Arabidopsis thaliana: one gene and its partner. The protein of the gene in region 1 purifies or fractionates together with the protein of each later gene. This does not show direct contact. Each region holds a gene or a part of one and is shown on either strand. Other genes may lie near its edges. The genes, in order: AT3G01790 and AT5G64670.

Region 1 (5,222 bases):
GGTTCAAAAGCAGAACTCGGAGAGCCTGTGATCTTAAGATGTCAGCCTTACAAGATCCCACTGACTGAGCTTCTTCTACCGCACAAAATCTCACCAGTCGAGTTCTTTCGTTTGTGGCCTAGCTTGCCAGCTGTTGCAGAGTACACTGGCACATATATGTATGAAGGAAGCGGCTTCATGGCGACCGCCGCACAACAGTATGGGGCTTCACCATTTTTAAGCGGACTCAAATCATTATCCTCGAAGCCATTCCACAGAGTCTGTTCCCACATTATACGCACAGTTGCTGGCTTTCAGGTGAACTTGGTTCTGTTATTCTTCTTGTTCCTTAACTGGATTGATGGTCTGATAAACCCCTAACTTGATGTCACTACAGCTTTGTTACGCTGCAAAAACGTGGCATGGAGGTTTTGTGGGTATGATGATCTTTGGCGCTAGTGAAGTGAGCAGGAACATGGATCTGGGTGACGAGACTACCACCATGATGTGCAAGTTTGTGGTTAGAGCATCAGAAGCATCAATCACAAAGCAAATAGAGTCGGATATTCAGGGATGGTGTGATGATCTAACTGACGGGGGCGTTGAGTACATGCCAGAGGACGAAGTGAAGGCAACCGCGGCCGAGAAGCTGAAGATCTCTATGGAGAGGATAGCTTTGTTGAAGGCAGCTCAGCCGAAGAAGACTTCAAAGATAGAGGAGGAATCAGAAAACGAAGAAGAAGAAGAAGGAGAAGAAGAAGATGATGATGAAGAAGTAAAAGAGAAAAAGGAGAAAGAAGAGGGAAAGGACAAGGAAGAGAAGAAGAAAAAAGAGAAGGAAAAAGGAACATTTTCTAAGCTGACAGCAGAAGAAACAGAGCACATGGCGCTTCAGGCAGCAGTGCTCCAAGAATGGCACATCTTGTGCAAAGATAGAAAATATACCAAAGTTAACTAAGAGCGAGAGTACTTTTTTCTCAGATGAAGCTACAACAATCTTTGTTTTCTTTTGTTGTGTGTGGTTTCTTCGTAGGTTTAGATGTTTTGTATTGTTGTTGGTGAAGAAAAGAAACAAACCAAGGATGTTACTATTGCCCTTTTTTACGAATTCTTCCGTCTTATTCACAAATTTCACACGTTTATGGAACCAAGGATGCATTTACCCATTTTCCATCAGTAACATTCTGTAGTCATGCAGTGTTTGGCGTGAGATTGCTCTGTTTTTTGCAACGAAGAAAACTGAAAGATAACCAGAAACAGATCCATGTTTAAGGAAGATGGTTTTGGCTTCATTTGTGATACAGTGTTTGAGATCCAGAAACAGGTTTATTGTCTGAGAAACAAGAAAGCCTTAAAAGCTTATCCACGTCTGCATTATGAACTTTGCTTACAAATAAAAAGACAGTCACATCACTAGCTTTCCTCTGAAGTAATTCCTCTACGCAGGTACTTCAGAGAGGGTCCTCTTCTTTCCTTTCTTTACCTCTGTTCCCTCATTTTCTGCCTGCTCTGCCTTCTTCTGCGCACGGATCATTGCTCGCCTTGCGCGCGGTCGCATCTCTCTAACTCTACGAGGCGGCATCACAAATGGCTCAAGTGGCTTGTCCCCAAAAGGATGCTCACCGCCTTCAAATATCCTCAGCTTCCGATCCCTGTCCTATACCCACACAAAGCAACAAAACCTCAGCACATTCTTGTTTTAAGCAACACATCCTAAACTATGCGAGCAATTCATTTAGGAGCTGAGAAGCGAGAATGTATCAGTACAAACAAGCCACTATTCCCACCAAAGATAAAGGACAAATAACAAAATGGTAAAACCAAGAGTTCAGAACAATCTTCCTTCCAAACCTAAATGATTTTCAAAACAAGGGTATATCATCTCATTCGATAAGACCGATTTGTGAGGAGAGACAACCTTTCTAGACATAGGACACCAAGAATCTCATTCCACACAACTCATGATGGATATCAACAAGTAAGAGTAAAGCCAAGGTGTGGGGTAATATCTGTAGCCAGAAAGTCAGGGATCTAAAAGACTGAGGATTCAGGTGATTAGAAAATGTTTCAGTTTATAGTGTACTCACATCACGCAAATTGTTACTTGGAAGCATGCGCCAGACAGCCTTACGAATGACCTCTGTGGGATCTTTGGCCATCTGATCTTTCAGACTCCGTTCCTTCAGGTGTCCGATGTACCTACAAAGAGAGATTAAATAAAGTAGATGAAAATGGGAGATACTAAAAGATATGATAAAACACTTGTAGTAGCTGAAGATTCACAGGAGCATTAAAAGAAAGAGTGCAACTTGCCCAGTATGCCAACGGTAGAATTTGTCAGTGAGCTTTCTTCCTGTGAAGCCGATTTCCTTAGCATTGAGAACAATACAAATATCGCCATCGTCGCGGTTAGGACAATAAGTAGGCTTATCTTTGGCTTGAAGCACGGTTGATATCTGGGAAGCTAGTCTACCAAGAACCTAGAGTAGACAAGTTATATTCACAAATGAAATCCTAGCAATTCAATTCAGATTTAATACAAAGACACAACAAAGATAAGGCATCCTATCTAAAATCTGGAAATGTTTGCCACTGTAGTCATGTAACTAACCAAGCATAAGAAGAAGAAAGTGGTAGAAGAAAGAGAGAGTAGATTGGAAGAGAGGTAGAAGAAAGAAAACCTGGCCTCTGGCATCAAAAACACGCCAACGAAGACCGTCGAGATTGATACGCTTTATACCTGCCACAGCTTTCTGCACAAAGACATACTCAAGATCAGCAACAAAACATAATACAAAGAGTAGATTGGAAGTTTTTTTTTAATAATAGAAAGGGGTCCATTTTCGAATAAGTTTGTAGCATCTACTCAATTTCTAAATTGCATAGCATAGGTGTGACACTCTCTGACCGTAATGGAGAATAGATGCAATGGGAAGTGATCATTGTTCCAAATGATTTTAAGTAGAAAATGCATAACACGTAGAAGAAGACCTAAACGTGGGAATCGCTCACTGGTTGATAGTAATCTAAGGTGATTTGGCTAAAACTGATCAAAAAGCTGGAGATATGGAAGGAAGAAGTAATCATTTTATACCTTTAAGTTGCCCTTGAATGAGGCAGCAGCAGCAGCCTGAGTCGCCATCGTTCTTCAGCTGTTTGTTAGACAAAAAACAAAAAACAAAACTGAGAATGTGATTTCAGTTATACAGATTCGTATGGAGAAGTCTGCAACGAATTGACCAGAATCACCAGAGAGATGACTCACCGGTTACCGGAGACAGTGCCGGAAGTGACAGCGGCGGTGGAAATGGGAAGATCTAGGAGGGAGCTGTATAACAAAGGGTTTTAGAAGGCGGAGGGCTATTTTGGTATTTTCTCATTAAAAGAAAAGGAAATGACTTTATATATGAAGGAAACTAAATTTTTTTTATTACATTTCAGTCGTCGATTCGAGGTCGAGGGTTTTAGCTCTATACACGGAATCAATCAAAAGGTACTTGTTTTTCTTGCGTGTCTTCCTCCTTAAACCTCAGAAAAGAAGAAGAAGAAGAAGAAGAAGAAAGTTGAAGTCTTTAGGGATGATGGCTATGTTCGTGAGACGAGCTCTATCTAGTCGTAACGCGATTGGGTTTCTCAGAAGAAGCTCCGTTGTTGTTCAATCTCGTGATTTCTCCTTCATTTCTTCACCCAATCTCATGATGATGGGAGGCCGAGATCTGCAATTCGATTTGTCCATGCCCGATTTCCTCAGAGATTCTCGTCGAGGCTTTGCAAAAGGCAAAAAATCAAGTATGTTGTTTATTCCTCATTTCCATTTATCAATCACTCGCTCGTGAATCTTATTAACATGATTTGTAGACTTTTCAAGTAGAGGGATTGATAGATTCTTCTTGTACTAGTTGTAGTTGGTATCAAAAGAGTTTCTTTTTTCTTTTGTTTTTTGTTGTATGAACAACGGCATTTCTGCCTTCTTCTTCAGAGGACGATTCAGGAACAGGGATGGTCGACGCAGCTCCAGATATCGGACCTACCGTGAAAGCAGCAGCCTCTTCTCAAATGGAGGCAGCCATTGATGCATTGTCCCGGGATTTAACTAAATTAAGAACCGGAAGAGCCGCTCCAGGTACTTCTCACCTCTTTCTTTCGGGTTTAGGTTAAGCCTCTCTGTGTCTGTGCTTATTGTGTGCATTTGCAGGAATGCTTGATCATATTGTTGTTGAAACGGGAGGAGTAAAGATGCCACTCAATCACTTAGCTTTGGTCTCTGTCTTGGATCCTAAGACTCTCTCTGTCAATCCTTATGATCCCGATGTATACTGATTCTTTCTTTCTCTTTTACTAAGAAAAACTTCGACTACATTAGAGTGTCATTTTTCTCCAACAAGCCGCCATTGACGCTTTGTTTGTCTCTGCAGACGGTCAAAGAACTTGAGAAAGCAATAGTCGCGTCGCCATTAGGATTAAACCCGAAACTGGATGGGCAACGACTGGTCGCATCTATCCCAGCGTATGAAAGTTCTTCTCTGTCAAATTTCATTGTTTATCACAGCCGTAATTGACTGACTTTGTCTGATTTCCGCTCTATGTTTTTATTTCGTGAGCAGATTGACCAAGGAGCATATACAGGTAAAGCATCCAAGTCATGTGTTATTGTTTAGTCACTGAGGTTGAGCCTTGACCCTATCTATCTATATGAACTCCAGGCAATGTGCAAGATTGTTACAAAGTCCAGTGAAGTTGTCAAACAAAGCATAAGAAGAGCGAGGCAAAAGGTAGTATGAATGGTGTAGAGCACAACCATAGAAGCTGTTTGTTGTAAACTCTCTCCTACACGTCAGAACATCTAATGATCAGAGACTTTTTTTTTTGGTCAGGCACTGGACACGATAAAGAAAGCAGGCTCGAGTCTACCAAAGGATGAAGTAAAAAGACTGGAGAAGGAAGTGAGTGTCATTGTATGATCTTTCTGCAAATATGCATCCTACTTCAGTTACTGAAAATAATGGCCTTTGTGTGAACAGGTAGATGAGTTGACGAAGAAATTTGTGAAGTCAGCAGAGGACATGTGCAAGTCCAAAGAGAAAGAGATCACCGAAGCCTGATTCATCATTCCTATACATCACTAGTCTTTTCACGCTACCTTGAAAGAATCTTTTATTCATTACCAAGATTTGTTTTCAACTTTTGAATGTTTGATTTGGGGATCTTGGAACTGCAAGAAAATTGATGATGAATAGCGATGG
Region 2 (4,580 bases), on another chromosome or scaffold:
GCTTTTGACACCAATTATAAGTCTTTACCATCAGATGATGAGTGGGATCGTGGTGAAAAGATTTGTGACTTGTTGAAGCCATTTAGTGTAATCACTACTTATATTTCAGGTTCCAAGTATCCGACATCGAATGTATACTTCACCCAAGTATGGAGGATTGAATTACTATTGAAGAAGTACGTCACTTGTGATGATGAGGATATAAAGCAAATGGCTATGGAAATGATATTGTCACTTTAAATGGGGTGGGTTTAATTGGGGTGGGTTAGCCCATATTAACATGACTACTCACTTATGTGGTTTGGGCATAAGTGATCTTATTTCTTTATAACAACATCACTGACTTGGTTTAATTCATGTGTAAAACCAGGAAGTCATCGACACATCTGGAGGGTAAAGTCTTATGATCACTATACCATTTATTCAATCATCGACCTTTGACATCTCATCTCCAGTTTTCAATTTAAACTTTACCCTTTTTTCCCAGCTGTGGCGCGAGTTTTGTGGTTGAGATTATCTCGGAACAGTTTGAGGGGAAGAGATTGCTCGAGAGGCACCGTATTGTGAACGCTGCTCTTGAAGAAGAGATGAAAGAAATCCATGCTCTCTCGATAACGAAAGCTCAAACTCCGCAACAATGGAAGCCAATATCACAAGACTCTGCAACAACTCCAACCACAGAGGCTTGAAGACAAAAGAACAACAAACATAGCTGAAAAGCTGTATTTTACTTTTACTTTGTTCCATGGTAGCTAATAAGCTTGAACTTTTATAAGCATCTACGGCGAAATAACTTATGAATTTGAATACATTACTGGCTGTTTATCATCTGCATAATCGAAATTCAACATCTTAACAGTCACAAACATTCTCTTTGAAAAAAACAGGAGCAAAGATCTTTACTCTTCCTTCTTCACCTTCTTCTTGGACTTTGCTGATCGTTCTGAAGAGCCTGAAACCGTACTTGTTGAGCTCCGATGTTTACCTGAGGAAGACTCTGAATTTTTTCTTTTTGGCGACTTTGGAGTCTCGGTGAAGCCAGAGAACATGCTCTTCTCTCTGCTGCTACGTGTGCCGCTTTTATGCCGGCTGCTTTGAGTAAGGTTAGATGATTTCTTAGAGGAATTCGTCACTGATCCGACAAGCTTCTGTTGTGTTCTAGCCTTCATTTTCTGAAGCAACTCGTTTGGTTCAGGGTAACGAACTAATGCAACTCGCCGAGTAATCTTCCCAACTATCATAAAACGAACAACAACAGAAGAATCATTATTAACGAAACAGGTGGTAAAACAAAACTGTGTAAACTGAACGACCAAAACCTAAACAAGACACAACTGTAAAGTAATGGGAATATACCAATCATTGATTCTTCAGAAGGTATAATCAACTCTGCACCAGCATCTTGAGAATGAAAGCTAGCAAGATCATACTTTGCACCTAAACAAAGGTGTAATGAGCCAGCTTTTGGAGATCAAAACTAAAATATTAAAGAGTATGAAAGAACACAAAACATAAACATACCATTTGAATCCTTGAATTCTCCAAATAACCCATCTTTGTCTGGCTCAATCTTAAGAGTGTTCTCTTCGATTTCTGGAAACTGCGATAAAGAAAAGTCATTTAGCTGTAGAACATTACATGAGGATCAAATTTGCAATAAAGAATCATTCTCTAAACATACTTGGCCTAAAGGGGCTTGGATAAGCCAAAACTCATCAGAACGCGTCAAATCAGTGTCATCTAGCTGCTCTGCGCCACTGACTATGAAATCTCCGGAAACTTTGAAATCGAAATCCATCTCTGCTCAAATCAGCTCTCGCGATTTCACAAAACCTGCAAAATCGAGAAAACAAGTGTTAAATATAGCGAGAGCTTTAACATATATAATAAACAAAGCTTTTGAACAAACTCAAACTCTGTCAAAATCGCAATTATAAATCTCTTCAAAAGACATAAATTAGTTAGAAAAATCAAGAAACTGGATGCAAATCGGAACGAGAAAGCTAAAGAGAAAGAAAGATGGCTTCGTCGGCGGCGGAAAAGAGAGAGAATCGTTACCGGAGAAATAGCAATTCGGCGATGACCTAAAACCCTTCCCAATTTATTTCTCTGTTTTATTTTATTTTGAAGTTCACTCAAAACGACATAGTTTAGTGAATTGGCGGGTGGAAAAGACATTTGGGCCATAATGGGCCTTTAAGTGACAGTACTGAAGAAGAAAGCAATGGTGATGGATGATTCAGTAGCTCTTCACTGAAATCTCATAAACCCTAAATCCCCAAAATGGAATAATCAAAATTTCATCAGGAGATCTCTAAAATCGAAATCTACTTGATCCCGCAACGAAGAAATGTTAAGAAGAAGACTCTTGTCGATCATATCAACATCACTCATCAATTCTTCGTTTCATCAAACCGCGAAACCCAGATTCATCATTTCTTCACCACTTCTTCAATGCCGTCCTTCTCCGATCTCTACTCAAATTCCGACCTCTACGAGCAGGGCTTTGTCGTTTCAAGGAATCAGGGCTTATAGTTTATTGAGCTTGAACGATCTGAGAGACAATGTGCCGAGAAAACTCAAGACGAGGAAAGGAAGAGGTATTGGGTCTGGTAAAGGTAAAACTGCTGGAAGAGGTCACAAGGGGCAAAAAGCGAGAGGAACGATGAAGTTTGGTTTCGAAGGTGGTCAGACTCCACTACGACGTCGTTTACCCAAACGTGGCTTCAAGAACAAATTTAAGCTCCATTTTCAGGTTCAAGCTTGTGCCTTTTAGTTCTGGGATTTTCATTTCTGAGGTCAAGTTTCGGATTTTGTAGCTTCCCTTGATTCGAAGGGTTAACATTTGTGATTGATTCCTTAGATTAGGTCGAATTTGAGAATCTAAATCAGATGGATCACTCTTGTTCTTCTTTCTGTATGCCATTATTGCTGTTCTTTAGCTGCTTGTGGTGAAGTAGGTTATACTGTGTGTGTAAGGATTTAGGATTTGACACTCTATTGATGCAGCGACTAAAGATGTTTATGATTGTTTTGTGATGCAGCCGGTTGGTCTAGGGAAGATTGCTAAACTCATAAACGCTGGGAAGATAGATTCTCATGAATTGATTACAATGAAAACGCTCAAGGTTCGGTCATACTTCACTCTTTGATTCAACGGTTTAAATTGAGTTTAGGATTCTTAATATGTCTGATTCTTACTGAACACATTAACGTCGGTTTGCAGGATGTGGGAGCCATAGGAAAGCAAATAGAAGATGGAGTAAGACTAATGGGTCGTGGTGCTGATGATATCAAATGGCCACTTCATTTCGAGGTTTATCATTTGCGTTATTAACTTTTGCTCTGTAGTCTCTAGAGCCGTTGCACCAGTCAATGTATTTGCTTAGTTAGATGTTCAGTTGATCGGTATGAGCGTGTTTATTACAGGTTTCGAGAGTGACGGTTAGGGCCAAAGAGGTGGTGGAAGCAGCAGGAGGATCAGTGAGAAGAGTGTATTACAACAAGTTGGGCTTAAGGGCATTGCTTAAACCGGAATGGTTTGAGAAGAAAGGAAGGTTATTGCCAAAAGCAGCGCGACCACCTCCTAAACAACAAGATAAGGTTGATAGCATTGGACGTCTTCCAGCTCCGAAAAAACCCATTCCCTTCTTTGCAGCTGAGGAGACCAAAGTTGAATCTCCTGTTGAATCATAATTTTGGGCTGCCATTTAACGTTTGATGTTTCTGTTTAAGTTGTTTGTGTTGTTTCTTGGTCAATGTTCACCACTAGAAAATTGAGAATGTCGGATTTTAATTTGACAAATAAGGTCTTTCTCGTTTTACTTTATCTGTAGTTGGCCACAACAAGTTATTCAACCATTTTCAGACTTGTTGTTTGGGATCAAGGCCTGTTCTTGTAGAAGGTTGAGAAAACCAGAGAACAATCACGTTAGATTTGAATTCATTATTATCCGGTTTGGTTGAGGCGTTGTTAATGTTAATGAGTTCAATGGTAACTTTGCTTTTTTTGACTAAAGATGCTAAAATCTGCAACTGCAAATATATAGGTTATGAGATTATGTCCCTTTTTTGCAGTGTTATTTTACCAAAACGATGTGCGAAATTTACCTAATTTATCGAAAAGGGGCTATGATTGTCTGAATTTGAACAACCGAACGTGATTAAAGAAGAAGAAGATAGATTTCGAGGTTTCAGAACTCATTACTCTTAACAAACATGTAATGATGAGTACTGTACTGTTAATTATAGCATTGATTATATTAAATAACTACGAAAAAAAAAGAGTACTCGATTGGTATTTTATTATCAAATAAATATGTAATTAGATCGGTTTATTTGTCTTTAAAAATGATCATTACGTATTTGTTTAAAATCAAGTGCAGTTCAATATCATACACTATATTTTAAAAATGTTTCTGTTTATCTTCTTCTATTGATCACACCTTTCTGATCTTATGTACCTATTGATGATCACCTTCCGGCATAAATGTCACGTTTAATGTCAAAATAAATTAAATGGCTATAGAATTAGATGCAACCTTGGTCCATCACATTGACAAATCACAATAGACATTTCA

What was found.
Region 2: the proteins of AT3G01790 (region 1) and AT5G64670 fractionate together in Arabidopsis thaliana (co-fractionation; one large-scale study listed by BioGRID). This does not show direct contact.

Annotation. Positions count from the first base shown.
Region 1 is NC_003074.8:282,463-287,684, forward strand, and holds AT3G01790 (Ribosomal protein L13 family protein), read right to left. Parts: upstream 3,343-5,222; 5' UTR 3,245-3,342; intron 3,163-3,244; exon of another isoform or gene 3,132-3,162; 5' UTR 3,122-3,131; coding exon 3,074-3,121; intron 2,733-3,073; coding exon 2,661-2,732; intron 2,460-2,660; coding exon 2,293-2,459; intron 2,179-2,292; coding exon 2,067-2,178; intron 1,989-2,066; coding exon of another isoform or gene 1,902-1,988; exon of another isoform or gene 1,637-1,901; coding exon 1,418-1,636; 3' UTR 938-1,417; downstream 1-937. Other genes in the region: TPLATE (ARM repeat superfamily protein), read left to right, coding at 1-297, 377-937; AT3G01800 (Ribosome recycling factor), read left to right, coding at 3,558-3,768, 3,959-4,102, 4,175-4,290, 4,395-4,486, 4,584-4,605, 4,683-4,751, 4,854-4,922, 5,001-5,081.
Region 2 is NC_003076.8:25,851,651-25,856,230, reverse strand, and holds AT5G64670 (Ribosomal protein L18e/L15 superfamily protein), read left to right. Parts: upstream 1-2,163; 5' UTR 2,164-2,350; coding exon 2,351-2,755; intron 2,756-3,044; coding exon 3,045-3,128; intron 3,129-3,226; coding exon 3,227-3,316; intron 3,317-3,429; coding exon 3,430-3,696; 3' UTR 3,697-3,990; downstream 3,991-4,580. Other genes in the region: AT5G64680 (mediator-associated protein), read right to left, coding at 900-1,234, 1,357-1,461, 1,522-1,600, 1,682-1,798.